Linked DNA regions of Drosophila melanogaster. The gene in region 3 interacts genetically with the main gene of each other region. Each region holds a gene or a part of one and is shown on either strand. Other genes may lie near its edges.

Region 1 (6,812 bases), 8.0 Mb from region 3:
CCGGGCGCGGTCAATATAGGCTTTTTCACTTTTTCATACGTATCTAACCAAAACAGAACACTCGCACACATGCAGTCGAAAAACGCGCCAAACATGTCCTACCTCTCGGGATTTTCCAGTGCGCACGTCTGGATTGTGATGGTGTTGTCGATGCAGTTTGGGGCCTGTTTGTGCCATGTTATTTCCAGCTTCCATTACTACGAGCATTTTTACTACGTTTTATCGATCCATCTGCTTTCCTTGTCTATCTCTATATTCTTAGACCTCTCTTAGTGTGTACCCCGAGTCCTGCTGCTGTACGCCCAGCCAAAAAGAGCAGGACCAAAACCCGAAGCATAATCGGCATGAAAATGAATTGGGGACTCCGACCCGGGTGGGTTTTCTGCGATTAGGCCTTGGCAAGGGGGTGTACAGGGGGAAAGTTTGCGAAGCCTTTTCAAAAGAGCACCACCAACATTCCACTTGATTCCTTGCTCTTGACAGCCCCCTGTCGGGATGCAGTTCTCGTGGCTCTGACCAACTTTCTCTCTCTCTCTCTCTGTCTGTTTTGCGGCCATTGACCTCTGATGTTAAATAAAATCGGCGCACATTTATAATATAGAGAGATCGGGGAAGTAACACCGGGCTTGGCGATGCGGATAGGGTACAGTAAAATCGGGACTTGAAATAAGACTGGAGAAACTTGATCACGGTCCAGGAATTTGGAACTCAAGAAAGGTGAAGGATAAATTGTTGGAGGCGTAAACTCAAGAAAACTGCTCAAATTGTTTAGAATATTAATATGTTATGTGTTCTTTCACATGGCTTAAGTATATTCCATGTTTTGTTCTATACTGAAAGGATTGTTGGGACTTGTTATCATATTTAACAATTGTAGAAATTCCAGACCTGATTTTTTTTTCAGATATATTTATTTTTTGTATCTTTATTATCGTAATTTCGTTTAAAGGGTAGAAGTGTACTTTTTTGTTCGAGTTCAAATTTTACAAATATATTTTACACACATCCTACAAAATTTTACATTTAAAATACATGGTTTTTGTCTATGCTGATAAGTGATTTTAAAAACATTGCACAGATATTGTCGATACACTCAACTGCTTCCAGTTACACTAACGCTACAGTGGGCACAACAAGAAAAGTTAACCAAAACTCGAGAGCGGAACTGAGTTTTCACAGGTATCTTCGCCACTGCAACAGTATATATTAACAGTAGTACTTAAAATTCATAGTTATCAACTTACTTATCTATGCGCCGCAGAAAATTTTGGATTTGCTGATTCTTTCCAATCAGCGCATAGAGGGCCGCAAACCCGTGGAAGGCCATGCAGAAGCTTACAGCGTAGTTAAGGTGGGATCTGTTCTCCCAGTAGTAGTTAAAGGCAAAGGAGCATATGCAAACGACCCATACGACTGCCGTGTAGCCAAAGTACTTCCAAAATGATTTGAATCGGTTCTTCTCTATGGACTCGAAGCTCTTCTCCGTCTCGATATCTGGCTGATCACGGATGTAGATCTGGCTCAGGACATAGAAGAAACCGCTAATGGCGCAAGCCACGAAAACAGGAGCGTAAAAATATATCATAACGGACCAATTGCGTGCTAGCGATGTGGAATACCAATTAATTATTATAAAACATATATGGATTGGCAGTGCTTACGATCAAACCAGCATGTATCGCCTCCGAAGATGAGCCTAGAGCCGTAATAACTGAAACCCACAAAGAAAGACCAGCCCACGGCTACCAGTACGATGGGAGTAAATATTAGCCAAAACATCAGTTTTGTGAAGACAACGCCATAAAAGCTCAAGTACAGCTTAAATGCAATAAAGCTCAGAATGTAAAAGGAAAGCACCAAGTTCATCAACGCCAAACTTGCTAAAAAAAAAAAAGAAGGGAATGTTTAAATATCACAGAATACTCAAATTTACCACTTACGTAGAATACGACAAGCCGCATTTGAGAGATTTGCTGGGTTGTGGAGCGTGAGATAAGCCAGTAGGGCATATCCCAAGATCATACAAATGGCGTACGCCTTTATGGCCACACCGTAGAAACTGTTGCGCATTTCCGAACACATAAGGTAGACCATCAGCACGATAAACATTGATAGAATAGCTATCAAGAGACCTGGAAAGTGAATACGCTGGGTAAATTAAATTCTGACTATCAAACTATTAATGCTATCATCGATTGTTTTTTGGTGCTTTAGCAATTACTTTTATGTATTGTTGTGAAAACAGTATTGTGCATATTTGGGATAATGAATTGCTGAAAGTTGCTGGAAAAATGTTTCCTCTTGCTACTTACATATGGCGTATGTCCACTCCCGCACCCCCAAGACGAAATATAGTTTTTCTGGTGCACAGGCCAATGGCTGCCACTCCCAGGTGGAGTTCCCATGGAGCAGCGGAGTGAAGCAGTAATGCTTAGAAAATATGTGTCCTCGGTGGCTGATGGTTCCGTTCTGAAAAGGCGATGTAAAGCCATTAATGTGATGGAAGGTTTATTTCACAACCGACCTCATGAAGTGTCCAGTGAACGTATTCCGAGCCCTTGGTTACGGCTTTCATGTGCTCACATGGTGTTTCCACGTGGATGCTAAAACGGGGTTGCAGTTTCACTAGACGCAGACTGCCGTTGCCCAACTCCACCTCCATATGGCTATGGGAGGGAAGGCTGGACACCCCGGCCACAGGGACTAAGCACTGCCTCTTCTCCAGGTCGTAGATTTCTCCCCGTAAACAGCAAATCCGTACACAGGGTTTGGTCTTACAGACACAGGCTCTGAGATGCCTGCTTGCGGGGATGCGGATGCCATTTTCGATGACAAAGTCGTACACGGCTACGAAGTGACGGGGAATCACCGTCCAGTTGTGCACAAATGGGCCATCTAAGCCGTAGCTCCCCGTTATGTTTGCCGTATCGATAAAGGCACACGGATAATGTGTCTCTTCATGGAATCCCCACGAGCAGTGTGTTCCAGAAAGAATGAGGAGGACTCCAAGAATGCAGAACTGCGCCATTTGAGAGACTTTCTCAACTGACGATTTTTGTATTTTGCTCCGAAAACCGATTTGTTTACGCTTGAACGTCCAATTTATGCTTGTTTACCTTCAGACAATTTCCAAACGAAAATCGAATCGTATCGAAATGTAGGGTGTAAGAAATTAAACAAAATAGACTATATAGACACCGAATAGTAAAGCACTGATGACGTCACTGGGTGCATGAAGTTAATTGAGTGATCGGATCATTATCTTCTCCTAGCACGGTCCAAACTTGGACTGTGAACGAAATCCAAATCCCAGCGAACTCAATCGAAGGTAGTGTGTAGTGCTCTACTGAGGCACGGCACAACGCAACCCACTTTGCGAGAAACTTGCGGATATTGTTTACAACAACCAAAGTAAAAGTCCGAAAACTAACAGATCGATCAGGAAATGCCCTACTCCAGCAGCTGTGTTCACGAATTTAAAATCTGGATCCCCAACTGTATATCCCGGATTAATTTCGAAATTAAGCGTATGGTAAAAGTACACTATTTTTGTGTTTTAGAAAGCTCAGATTATACAAGTAAACATTGTCGATAGTTTTCGTTCCTAATCTTTCTGCAGCGTCTTACAAGTAAAACGTTCTTATCGGCATATTTTCTTCTCAACAAAAAGTGCCATTTTGTTTGGCGTCTTTTAAAAAATTCGTTTTATAGTGTCCTTTGGCAGAGGGTTTTCGCATTTTATAATAACGAGGTACAAGAGGAAAGGTAAGAGATACAGTCACAGATTTGATTTAAAAATCAGGAAAACCAGATAAGCAGGTACTGATGATGACTAATCCATTGCCATTTAAAATTATAATGTAAATCGCCCTGTCTGCATGACTTGACAGGATTATGTTATTTTTTGCCTTAGTCGGGCCAAGTTGCGGTCGCAAGCGGATTTTAACGGGTTTCAGTTGGCCACTTTTTGACTTTAAATGTCTCTTTAATGGTTCCCGAGATGTCGGCTTGTTTGTAAATCATTTAACAGCTCAGCTGCATCTACAGGTTTCCCCTTCCAGAAATTTTGAAATTCTTTACGCAGACTTTCCACAACAAGGTCGTCAAGGGTGCCATGCGGTAAAAGTTAGCGGGGCTGAACACCAAGTAGATAAACTTCCGCAACAGGCTGCGGGGGAGAGGATTTCTGTGCGTCAAAGCTAGGCACAAAGGCCACAACATTGGGATCGAACTGGGATTGGTTTTCAACTGGGATTGGTTTTCCACCTGTTCCACTCCAAAATCACTGTTGTCCTCGCTGTACACGTGCCCGTCTTCCTGACGGAGATACTAGATTCATCACGCGATTCCATCTGCTGCTGTTGATATTGCTCGGCCAACTGGTATGACTCCTTGCCTGCAGGACGACTATCTCATTCGTTGAAGTAGTAGACTTTAAATTGGTGAAGACCTGATTATCTTTGATCACTTTATTGTGGTCTTCTTCCTAAACCAGATTGAAGCCACCGGTAGTTTAATGCTGGTGGACTAGATTTGGAGCAGTTTTCCTCAGAGCGTCTTCAAGATGTGATGCTCTTTTGCGCATCCGAAAATCTGTGCACTTTCGGAAAGTCCGTACTGCACGTAGTGGTGCAATTGACCGGTGTCTTTATGGTGTTCCATACCTGTGGGATTTATCTGAAATATTGTATACGTAAAAGAACGTTAATTTGTGGTCCCTACTGATTTGTACACTTACACCAACGTATTAACTCTTGCTGCATAAAAGGCTTGTGTTTTCGGTTAACTCTGATGGCTCTTTGTTGTGAATTGCTTGCCAACCGATTCTGATGAAATACCGACAGCAGACCGTTCATAAATATACCAAATTTTATGTTTTTAGTATATGTCAAATATCAGCCGTCCGATAATTCGATAATTTTCAATAAACCTAATTATACAACTGTCAGTATTTCTTGACGAACGGTCTGTCCTCAGTATTTTTACACAACCCAGATATGGTAACTGTTTGTTTTACGCACTCTTAGCGCAAAGAGCTATCTAGATTTAATGAATACTGATTTGTAAACTTACACCAACGTATTAACTCTTGCTGCAACATTGTTGATTTGTGTTTTCGGTTTGCTCTGATAGCTCTTCGTTGTGAATTGCTTGCCAACCGATTCTGCTGAAATTCCGAAAGCAGACCGTTCATAAATTTACCAAGTTTTATGTTTTTGTAGTATATTTCAAATATAAGCCGTCCTAAAATTCAATTAATTTTTAAATTAACCTAATTATACAATAACTGTCAGTATTTCTTGACGAACGGTCTGTCATCAGTATTTTTACACAAACCAGATATGGTAACTTTGTTATACGCACTCCTAGCGTAAAGGGTTATACTAGTGTCAATGAAATGTATGTAACTGGTAGAAGGAAGCGTTTCCGAACTTATAAAGTATATATATTTCTGATCAGGATCAATTGTCGAGTCGATCTGGCCATGTTCGTCCGTCTGTCGGTATAAAGATTAGATCTTAGGAACCCGTCTTTTGAAAAATGTTTTGATATTTTTTTATATATTTTTTTAGTCTTGCAAACTTCTATCGGCTAGCCAAAAATTGTTTGGGCAGGCCCACTCAGACGCACACAAACCACACAAAACTGTTATGCCCACACTTTTGAACAATATTTAAATTAATTTTTATTGTATTATTTTTTCCCCATTTCTACCAATATTCCTAAAAAATATTTAAATTTCTCTTTTACGCTTCTAACTGATTAACTGGTACCTGGAGTCAGGAGCTCGACTACTGCATTCTCTCTTGTTTTCCCTGTGGATGTGAGCGAAAGTCAATCTTCAAGCAATTAAAATATGTTACACGTCTGGTGGGAGTAAGATAGAAAAATTTCAATAGAATAGAAATGGCAGGAAATTTAAAAAAATATTGAACTTTTTTATAAAAGTATTGGTAGGAGCGGAATTGCTTCAGACATTTCAATAGATATTCACAACTTAATTAAAAAAAAAAAAAAACAAAAATATATTAGCTAATACCCTAATACATATATGTACCTAAATACAAAATTTAGTTCATAATACGAAAAATTTATTTATATTCAAAATTTTCTATTTGTTAAAAATAAAGATTTTGGGAACGGTTGCATTGTTACGGAAAAGGTTAAAGTTTATAATATAAGCATAGTTTATTTTGTTCGATTTTTTGCAAGTAATTTTTGATATAGTCTATTCATGATCTGTAACCGCAGTTAAAATGTACCAAGATTAGCGTACAAGTTTTTTATATTATAAAATAGGAAAAGGAATCGATTTGTTTCCACAGATTTACGAGAAGAAACAACATAAAAATGCTATATTCGAGTTCCCCAAATATCAGAAACCCGTTCGTGTGAACGAAATTTCATCATTTTTCTGGGATATCGAAAGATACTGGCAATAAAATAAGAAAAAATTTAACGATTGTTAGAAAGTGTGGGCGTAACCGGTTCGGCTGCTTTAGGGCGCTAGAGTGGGCGTGGAAAAAAGTTTTTTGGCAAGTCGATAGAAATCTACACGACTACTAAAATTATATTAAAATATTGAAAAATGGTTCAAAAATGTGGGCGTAGCTGTTTTGGGCTGTTATTTATTAAATTTTGAAAAAATATCGAAGAATGGTTAAAAAATGTGGGCATGGCAAATTTTTTTTTGAAGAGTGATAGAAATTTACAAAGTTAATAAAATGTGAAAAAAATAGGAAAAATGGTTTAAAAATGTGGGCATGGCAGTTTTGTGCGGTTTGTGGACGTTAGAATGGGCGTGACAACAT
Region 2 (5,236 bases), on a different chromosome or scaffold from region 3:
TGGTGGTGTTGGTTGGGGCAAGAAAAAGTTGCGTTGTTCGGAAAAGTTTTTAGCGTAGTTTGAAATTCTTTTCGTTCGCTCTCCTCTCGATTATATGTCGAGTTCTTTTCTGCGAGTTTCTGCTGTAGAGTTGAGAGCTGGCAAAAGTGAGTTAAGGTGCTTAAGTTTTGCCGTCTTTATTGTTCGTCGCTTTTTTTTATCTATCCTAGTATTTCTGTGCCAGTTTTTCAGCCAAGGAAAAGCGAGCGCCGCGGGAAGTAAACTGCATTAAAGGGGCCAAAAATGGGGAACAAAATTAGTAATAAATCCAGCAGTGAAATATGAAATCGCAGCGAGCCAAGAAGCACGCTGTGCATATTGCAACGGATGCACATAATTCACATTTCCGCAACTTTTGGCTGGCCTTTGACGCAATTGGAGTTACCAGGGAAATTGAATTTTTTAAATTTGCATCGGGCAAACAAACAAGATGGAAAGCGGAAACAGCGCTAACAAAAGCAAGAACATAAATCCTGCCCGAGATGCAAAAACAAAAACACGGCAAAATGACAGAGAAAATGGAATTTATTAAATAGCATTCCGCGCAATAAACTCTTGCAGCAAAAAAAAAAAAAAAAACGAGCACAGCAACAAAAATCCACACACACACACACACACACACACACACACACACACGATCGCATAATCAAATAAAACAACTTGGACATGCAATTTTATGGCAGGACGTCGTTTTCCTTTTGGGCACCCTTCTCCTCGATTCCATTTCAGTGGCCCCCAGTTCAACGTAAACAGACGCAAAAACAATGGGGAACGAGTATAAAATGGTATATGTACGAATCGGAATTAAGAATACCCTATCGGATACGCACAGTATCAATCATCTATGGATGTGCGATGAATCGAAATATACAAGGAATAAGGAACATCTTATGGAGATCAAAAAACCGAATGGTTTTAAAATGCTTAAAAGCATGCAACATTTGGAGTTTGAAATCAAATAAGTTCATATATGTTTTATGTTTTTATTTAGAGTATTTCACCATTTTAACGAAGTTATAAGCCCTATTGCTAGGGTATTCAAAAATGGGATTAAGCCGAGAGGAGAATCGCAAAAAGACCGCTCAACATTTTTTCCATTAAGGGCGCCCAAAAAATAAAAAAATAAAAAAAACCGGACAGCTAAGAGGGGCTCAGGGATTTGCGGAGCTGGCCATCAGCGCATTCAGGTTTTTGGGACCTGCTGGACACAAATTAAACCAAGTGAAGCCAAATAAAAAGGTTAAATTAATAACCGTAGTCGCTCTTTAAAGTTCAAGCCAAATGCTATCTGTATGTATGTGTGTGTGTGTGTGTGTGTGTGAGTGCCTGTGCGAAATGCATATTTGAATATTGCATAAATCATCGCTTTTATTTCGATTTTTGTTTTATTCGCCATGCGGTTTGCTTTTGTTTTCTGCAAAAGCGCCTCATTAAATTACCATTTTAATGATTATTTAATTCCATCAGTTGGACAAATATAATAATTGAATATATATTTTATATATTATCTTTGCAGCCCAATAAGTTGTCAATGATAATATCTTAGGATTCTGCAATTACGTTCGATGGCAAACTTCAGCATTTGTATTTAAAATCTCATAAATTATTAAAGACTTTTAAATTTTATCTACATATGATGTAAGGTAGATTCTATTGAGATTTTCCGTATCAAAACCTAATATTTTGAGTAGCATTTTGTAAATGCCGTAAAAAACGTCTTACTTTCGTCATGCCTTCACTTAAAAAGCGTCAATATCAGTATCATTCAGATTTGCTGTACAGCACTTGAAATTCCTCGATTGCTAGGAATTGTGCAATCTTTTATTGCATTTTTTTAGAAATAGTTAGGTCGCGGCGGATATTTGTGATGGAAACCACACGAAACCAAACTGTCTGGTCTGAATTGATTTAAATTAATTGAATTTTAAAGCGAACCGGTAATCGGCAACCGGTTTCAACCGATTCAAGGCGAACCGTCCAATTGAGCAAACGGTATTTGAATGTTTTAACTGATTGATGTCAGTCGATATGGCCTGATTGTTCCGATACTGACCTGTGCTCCGGGTGCTTCGGCCTATTCCAGTTGACTCCGATTAATCCAACTCATGTGCCTGTTTTTGTGGCGGAATTATTGGGCGGAAGAGGGGATTTACGGGAATTAAAGCCGATTTGGGCGGATCGAAGGGACTTAACTTCGGGGCAAACACATTTGGTTTCAGGCACTTGTCTAGACTTTCCTCGGCGTTTCTCGGTGTTTCTTTCGGTTATCACACTCTTTATTCTAAATTTCTTCACTTGCTTTTGAAGCTATTAAGAGCACTAGTGGATTTTCAAATTTTGAATTGAGCATTCACGGTATTCTTCATGGTTTTCTTATAAGTTTCACTTTACCCATGTTAAGCTGGTAAAAATAGGGTTTCGATTTTATGTTTCAGTTGTGGCTGAACAATCTAGAAAGAATTTCAAAATTTTCGGTCACTATTACAGGTTTAAAATAAGAAAATGAATTTCGCGCAAGTTAGATTTTATTTTATTCTTATGTGTTTCAAACTTATAGTTGTGTTTATAAACTTTATCACATCGCTTTTAACAATTTCAAATTTTAATGGGCTAAATTTGATGCTTATCACTCTTAATTTCTGCCAGTGCATTTTGATCGCATTGTAAACATTTTTACAGAAACAAGAACAACAAATTGCGTTTCATTGCCACAGTGGTGGTCTCTGCGCCGTCGTCGGCAGCGACGTCGACGTCGGCTGCGAAAGGCGACACCATTTCACCGGCGACTATTAGCAGCAAGTGCGAGAGAAACGGACGATGGCGATCGCACAATTCCACACAACACACACACACACACATACGCATAGGCTGCAACTGTTGCAGCAGCCAAAACAACAACAAGACGGCTAAAAAGCGAGTGTTTTTTTTCGATTTTTTCGCGCTGCGACCTTGGAACCGTTAGCTTTTCAAGCTGAACTCTTGGACTGTTAAGTTGGCTGCCTTTTTAACACCTTAATAGCGCTTATCCAATTGTTTGCCTTTTGCTTTTGTTGCTTGTTGCTGCCGTCGCTGCTCTGCCGCTGTCGCTGCTGCTGCACTGCCTCTGCCGGCGTCAGCTGCTCGCCTGCGTGTGTGTGCGTGTGTCCGTGTGAGTTTCCGTTTGTTTTGTGTTGGGCCTTTTATTTTGTCGTGTTTTTTGTGCCCACCGTGCAATTGCAATATTTACGGATTATTCGCGGACCGTTGAGCGATATATGTGCGGTTTTTTGCGCGGAGTTGGATCGGCGGAGACGACGGAACAGCGATATATAATTGCAGCAGTTGCAAGAAGAAGAGCCAACCAGCAGTGGCTGCCAGTGTGTGCACACTGCGCAGCAGAATTGCCACCTGGCCGGCGGTGTTGCCACATCGCTGGATTTCGTGCTGCGATTGTCTGGAGTGTAAGAAGAAGAGCAGTGGATCAGCTGTTGCTCACAAGCGGCTCAAATTGAGTTATGTGCTAACGCGTTCGTGGAAGATTTGGGCGCGCAATTCAAAAATGTAACATAACGGGATTTAAAGATTTCAATTTAAATAAACTTTGAATCTATAATAATCTATTGTTCGAATTAAGCGTCGAAGTAAAGTTTTCAAATAGTATACTTTGCGTCACAACTCAACCCAAAATCAGAACATTGTAACAGAAATAATTAGGTCTGAAAATGAACTCAATAGTGATTTTTATTCTGCACTTTTTCTTGGGTAAGCAATTAACATATGTATAAAATAAATTCTACTAATGAATTTTCCCTGCCGGCTTAGGAATCACACTCGGAACAGCTATTCCCAACGAAATAAGTGTGAAAATGGCAGTGCCAAATAATTCTGTTACTATGAAAACCGAAGAGTTCCTGCTGCAAAACGAAAATATTCCCTTTGGTCTTCAGAGTATTCCGCATTACTTAAAACATCTCATTACAAATGTGGACAGGGATATCCCGGGAAAGAGAAAACCGAAGATTACTCAGTACTTCAAGCTGAGTCCAGAAATGGATAATTTGCAGATGATGCGGTTTCTTATCGAGACCTTTGGCAGATTCATTGGACTCATTACATAGGCGTAGTATGTTCTTTTTTGATATATTTTCCAGCTGTGAGAAGAATTCCAACGCGCTCATAAATAAGAAAATGAAAGGAGAAGACGATGAGGTTTTGATGATTTCAAATGAGAGGAACTTGATGAGATTTTTTGGTCAAGAGCATTTATTTCGAATTCAGTTTTGCAACGAGGCCAAAGGAGAAAAGAAATGAAGTATTAAAACTGATAAATGATAGAAGAATTCGTTAAGGAAGAACAAAGAAATATGCCACAGAAAGCTTTCAACTAAAGACGGCAAGAAACGAAGATTTGCTTTCCAAATAATAAACAACAGATAACAAGGTACATTTAAGGTTTTTTCATTGGTTTCTTTTATATGTATATATATATATATATATATTTATATATATATATAGATCTATGTATATATAGTATAACATTGTTAACATTTACTATTGACTATGTAATATCCGCTGCAGAGATACTTTTCGTGTTTCGTGTTCTGTTTCAGTTTCGGTTTATGTTTTTCTGTTTGATTTGCAGGTACTTAGTACTACTTTGCTCCTTGGGTTTGCGATTATTGTACGCTTGTCCTATATATACACACGCTATAACATATAGTTTTTTAATAGGTATCCATGGTTAGATATATGAGAATTTGGGGGGCTTCTTATATAGGTTCCTTTGGGTAGGGTGGAATACTAAAGAGTTTAGGCGTTAATAAATACATCTCGAGTTTTAGTTGGTAAAATTGCTAACATTTAGTAAGTAACTATGTTGTACATTCAAGGGCTACATCGTATAAGGTATCGCTGATCTATAACGATCGTAAATATATCTATGTGTATACAGTATACAGTGTGTATATGAATATGAAACAATCTGCAGTTATAGATTCTAGGCATAGGCTATGCAGTGAAGTCTTAGACGAGTTTAAATAGCACTTTCTCGAAGTTCGTACATCTATAAATAGTAAATATATGTATATATATATATATATTAGGTATATATATATATCGTGTATATGGCTACTCTGTAGATTAGAGTTACAGCTAGAGTTAGAGTTAAAGTTTCAGTTGCTTATGTCGCTAGAATACTTGAGTAAAGATAGAGCTAAGA
Region 3 (5,340 bases):
GATTAATAATAGCATAGTATGCAGCTTTTTAGACTTGGGGCAATGGCTTACAATGGTGTAACTTTGAAAGTAAATGAATATTATTGCAAGTTAGCAACTGGTAGACCCGTTGCTACTAAAGACTGCTGTGTGAAGCCAATCCGAACGTCAACGACTTCATTTCGCGGGCTCCACTTTCAGTTGGCCAAAGGGAAGGCGGTGTATCGAGGGATATACTTGGGCCTCTTCTTGGGCCTCTTCTAGCCTCCCATAGTTTCCACTAGCCCCGCCACGCTTTGTGTATTTCACTGGGCTCCTCCACTTGTGGCTCGTCTTCGGACTTCCACTTCCTTGTGCCTAAACCATCGGGGCCCCTTGTGTGCCAGTTTTTAACTGGCTTCCCTGCGGACGACCAACGACGACCACTCCCCCACCGGCAGCACTCCTCAAAAGACCCGCCCGATAAACTGGGCTCACTTTGCGTTTTGATTATAGCCGGAAATGCCGTTTTACACGTGAATGAAATTTGTAAATGCAGCGTTGCCAAACTTCTGGCTACACTACGAATAAATTGATAGGAAGTCGAGTTAAATAATAAATAGATATGATGATTTCATATTGCCACCTTTTTTTGTGCTATGTTAAAATCATTTGCTTGATAGATTTGCAGCTTTTCGGTTACATTGATAACAAAATGTTGCTAATCCATATTAGATATTTTACTTTACCCAGTAAACAAACAAATATTCAATGCTCACCCCATTTAAGCAACCATTAATGTAAAATTTTGCACACAAATGTAAATCAAAAGAGTCGAGGGGATAGAAAAAAAAAAGCAGAGAGAGGCCGATAAACGAGGAGATGGGCAAATAGAAAAGTCCAAATTGAGGGGGGGGGAGGGAGGCCAAAACACGGAGAGCCAGCCAGTCAGCCAGCCAGCGCGCTTAGGGTAAGAAATATATTATAGGAAAAATCCACCCTCGGGGGGCCGCAGCAACGTTGAAAACTGCACAAAGGCACAAAACCATGAAGGACAGCTAGCTGAGACCCGGGACTGAGGTTCTGAATCGAAATGAGTACGAGGATGTTGACGTTGCCCGCTGCACAAAACATCAACATCAACAGCAGCAACACAATCAAAAGGGTTACAGAATCAAAGGCCTAAGCAGAAGGTTGCTGAACCCACGGCGAGACCGTGACATAAAATCGCACAGCAAAGTAACGACGCTGCAGATACCCTTTCTTCGAATAGAACAAAGACTTTTTCAAGTCAAAGAACAACTGTTTAATCTTTAGATATTTGAATTATAAAAGTACATTGACAGGAGGGTATTAACATTTGGATTCGAAGTCGGTCTTACAACTTTTTAACCGAATGTGTTTATAATGAAATCATTTACAAATTATCATTACATGAATTCTTTAAGGGGCACAAGCATATAATAGGATATGACGTTAATACACCCTTTTCTGCATTCTATACCACCTATTGTCTTATAATTCTCAAATATAATTGCCCATTTCGGCGGGATGTCTTTGGACAACCAGCAAAACAACCCGAAAATAACCATGCTTGCTAAACCAAGAAAAAATTTGATTGTACCAATACTATGGCAACACCCTTCGCCCATAATCTGGATTATTGCACTGAGATATAGAATCATTATACTTACCAGACAACTCCGAATGCTCCATAGCCGATAGGACGATCCGGCTGAACATCCTGGGGAACAGCCGGCGGTTGATAGTAGGGAGCCGCTGCGGCCAAGATTGCGCTGGCGCCCTGTGGCGCACCACCGGCAGCACCACCCTGTACCAGTGACATCGAAACGCTCATTGATGGACTACGCGGCAAGTTTTCCAAATAATTCGAGCAGCTGCACCCGGTTCTGGTATTTGTTGGCGATGGAGCTCAGTGGTTGTGGTCCTGCTAGGCTGTGGCTTTTACTGGTGGTGGTGGTGGTTTCGACTGGGTCTTGGACTGTGGTTCTGATTCCCAAAGCTGTGACGGCGGTGGTGACTGAGGTGGTTGAGGTGATGGTGTTGCTGGAAGTGGTGCTTGATTTGATGTGGGAGAAATGGTGTTGATTGCTCAATGGATGCCGCTGGGGCCAACTGATGGCCGCCATTCAATTGTTGGCCATTTGTTGCTGTTTGCCTTGGCGTGCTCCTCTATTCAGCGCTATTTGTTTCGCTGCGTGTCGCTTGTTACACTTCTTACTTATTTAAATTAGATTTGAGGACATTGTGATGAAACTGCGGAGTGAAGTGGATAAATAATCATTTGTAGACAGTTGAATTGTGAATAATTTAAACGTTGCTAACAGAATTTACAATCTTGATTTATTTTCACAGTACGCAAGAAAACTATTGAGAATTGATTTCCTATTCGACCACTAGTTACTAGTTACCACTAGGCTCAATATTTTGTATATTCTGTAAAAGCTAGATTTAATTTAATCCGGTTTTGGTATTATTCACTGTACTTTAATTGTCGTTACTTTTGTTTGCTTTTCGAATTTTTGGTGGCAAATGATGCTGCACAGGAATCAAAAAGAAAGAAGAGAGGAGAACAGTGAGAGAGAGCGCGCGAGAGGACATGAAAAGTGCCGTTAGCTGTCGCGACCGGGGCGCGTCCGTGTATTACAATTGTAAGTGTGTGCGCATGTGAGTGCGATTCTGAGTGATTTTCGGACTGCGCTGCCTGCGCAAAAAGCCGCTCAAAAGACACAAAAATCACTTAAAATCCGACTTTTCATGCAAATTTACAAATGTTGAAAACCAAACAATGGCGAGCACCCCCAAGTCGCCAGAAAATGAACGCAATCAAAAAACGCTCGCATGAAAATCGAAAAGTAACGGGACAAAAGAAATTCGCCCGGGGATATGTAATATTTCCCAGGGTTTCGCTTAGCTTTCCGGACTAATTAAACCTAACCTATGCAAACAAGACATTCCATTTCACTTTAAATTACCTTAAAAAATGCACAAATTATTGAGCAGCGGCGGTGGCAGTTTTTCGTTTATAATTTCTTTTCTATTTTTCTTTTTTTTTTGTGTTTAACTCTTCCGCCTTTGTGGGAGCGAGATGGAAGTAAAACGCGCCGGGGGTAATATTCGTGCGTGTGTGTGTGAGAGAGAGTGAACTAGCGGGCGAGACGGAAACAATTTTGTAATTTTGTTTAATTATTATTGTAAATAACGCGAGATGAATTTTTTGTTGTTTGGCGTGTTACTACTACTAACGCGACGGCTGCTCACACACACGCGCATACACAATCGCACGCACGTTTAAACTATGTACATGTATATGCAGAGCCAGACAAACAAACAAAATTTTGCCTGGGTCACGTTTCTTGGCTCTCTCACAGCTTTTTTTCTACGGTTGCCCTTTATTGCATTATCTTTGTTATCACACGGGCCGCGGGGCGTGGCTAAAAGGGGGGCGGGCGGATGTTGGTCGTCGGTTGGCGTTTGATTACCTCGCAGCTTCCCAACGAATGAGCCTAACTTGGATTTTCGATCACACGCGGCGACGTTTGTTTCAACGATAATTCCGAATTCGTGCGCTCGACGTTCCGCTCCGTTCGAAAGTTGAGAGAGACTTGAAACATATGTTCGGCGTTGCTAGAGGTGGTCGGCCACCGATAGAAACATCGATAGGTCCGATGTTTTCCACTCGTATATTAATTCAAGGTTTGGCTATCGATGTTTTTAGAGTGCCCGCACTATATCTATTTCCATCTCTATTTCGTTGGTATTTTTTGTATTTTATGACATTTCAAATGCAAAAGCAGGATGGCAACGCCAGATTGCCCCGAATGTACGTTATTTTTAAATTGCAGCGTTGAATATGAAAAATTGCAGGTACATACAGTTTCTAATAATTAATAGCAATAATTATTATTTAGCTTGTATTATACGAAGTGCACATGCAGCTATGCATCTGAAAAAATAATATTAATATATCGCCTTTTCTTCCATCGATAGAGTTCCGCGCCTATCGATATATTGTTGATCACCAAATAAATAAAACTAAATAACAACGCAATGGAACACGCGACAAGTGAATTGAGGGAATTTATCTCAGATCTGGTGATTCCGCACCAGCGTTGCAATGTTAACATCAATCCGGATCACATCACAATGCTGGAGGGCACCAAGATCAAGAAGCAGCACTCCCGAAAACGTCGCGCCCACAAATCCAGTACGCTGAGTCGCCGGGAATATGCGGCACTTGGTTTGAACACTCTTCCCACCAAGCAGATGAAGTACGAGGAGGCACTGCCACTGCACCACCTGTGGAAGGGCTATGTACGCGAGCATCTGGAGCTGAGGGAAGGTGACGAGGTGCCCCAGGTGCACGATGCTCGCTACGACGAGTTCAGCCGCAAGTTGGTGAAACTGGACTTGCACGGTGCCAAGATGAAGGTGCTGCAGTCCAAGTGCTCCACCCTGGAAAATTTGGCTGGCATCTGCGTCATGGACACCAAGAACGTGCTGAAACTGCTCGGCAAGGACCATCGGCTGCGCACAATACCCAAGAGCGAGTGCGTCTTTGGTATGAAAGTGGGCAACATGGAGTTCACCATATTCGGGCAGCACCTCAACATTCGACCCGCCGAGCGAAGCGTTAAGAAGATCAAGAACTTTGTGAAGCCCTTCATGTAGGAACTACAGGACCAATCATTAGCCATAGAAATTGAATCCTATTGTAATTTAAGGAAAAAAGTTTATTGGAAAGTTAGCATCGCTTTTCAATAGAAATTTAATAATTGCCCTCAAAGATCCTCTAAAACTTTACTTGTATTTGAGATTGTTGTGTTTAATATATATATAAAACCGTACATTAATTGTTTTTCTTGTTTTTTTTTTTTTTTTTTGGGGGGGGGGGGGTATATTTCGCGCCGCGTTTTTTTCGTATTTAGGTTCTAGTTTATGGGAGAGATTACCCGGATTCAAATATATCCAGTTTGTAGGAAAGATTTATGCGGGCGTCTTGGTCATGGTGATGACAGCGGATGGAACCAAGCCGAGCACTTCCAGCGGCTTCTCGTAGTCGTCCTCGGCGAACAGCTTGCGCGGAAAGGTGGTCATCAGAGAGAAGGGCGACTCGATGCCGGTCTTCATCTGGATGAACACACGTACGGCGGACAGCTGCTCCTTGACGTTGAAGGTTTCCTGTAGTGTTGAGCCATCCTGCAGGCGCACCTGGATGCGGGTTTCGGTGTAGTCTCGCGGCGGAGATTTCACACCGGCCGGTGGTGACGAAACTGTGGTGGAGCTCACGGATGGAGCTGGCTCTGCGTTGCCCAATTCCTTTTGTTCTCTGCATACCATGAATTATAATGAATTATGAAG

The links. Genes that interact genetically often act in the same process or in processes that back each other up.
Region 1: of nmo (region 3) and mthl8, changing one enhances a phenotype caused by changing the other (phenotypic enhancement), as found in Drosophila melanogaster (one study listed by BioGRID).
Region 2: of nmo (region 3) and px, changing one enhances a phenotype caused by changing the other (phenotypic enhancement), as found in Drosophila melanogaster (one study listed by BioGRID).

The regions. Positions count from the first base shown.
Region 1 is NT_037436.4:20,409-27,220, reverse strand, and holds mthl8 (methuselah-like 8), read right to left. Parts: upstream 4,794-6,812; 5' UTR 4,739-4,793; intron 4,678-4,738; 5' UTR 3,029-4,677; coding exon 2,525-3,028; intron 2,470-2,524; coding exon 2,313-2,469; intron 2,133-2,312; coding exon 1,941-2,132; intron 1,881-1,940; coding exon 1,662-1,880; intron 1,603-1,661; coding exon 1,245-1,602; intron 1,192-1,244; coding exon 1,143-1,191; 3' UTR 913-1,142; downstream 1-912.
Region 2 is NT_033778.4:22,558,654-22,563,889, forward strand, and holds the start of px (plexus), read right to left. Parts: upstream 3,413-5,236; 5' UTR 3,266-3,412; exon of another isoform or gene 3,246-3,265; intron 2,490-3,245; 5' UTR 2,093-2,489; intron 1-2,092. Other genes in the region: CG11362 (uncharacterized protein), read left to right, coding at 3,741-3,780, 3,841-4,136.
Region 3 is NT_037436.4:7,977,295-7,982,634, reverse strand, and holds the start of nmo (nemo), read right to left. Parts: upstream 3,590-5,340; 5' UTR 3,462-3,589; exon of another isoform or gene 3,126-3,461; 5' UTR 2,955-3,125; intron 2,236-2,954; 5' UTR 1,817-2,235; coding exon 1,653-1,816; intron 1-1,652. Other genes in the region: POP4 ribonuclease P/MRP subunit, read left to right, coding at 4,030-4,650; CG8209 (uncharacterized protein), read right to left, coding at 4,966-5,308.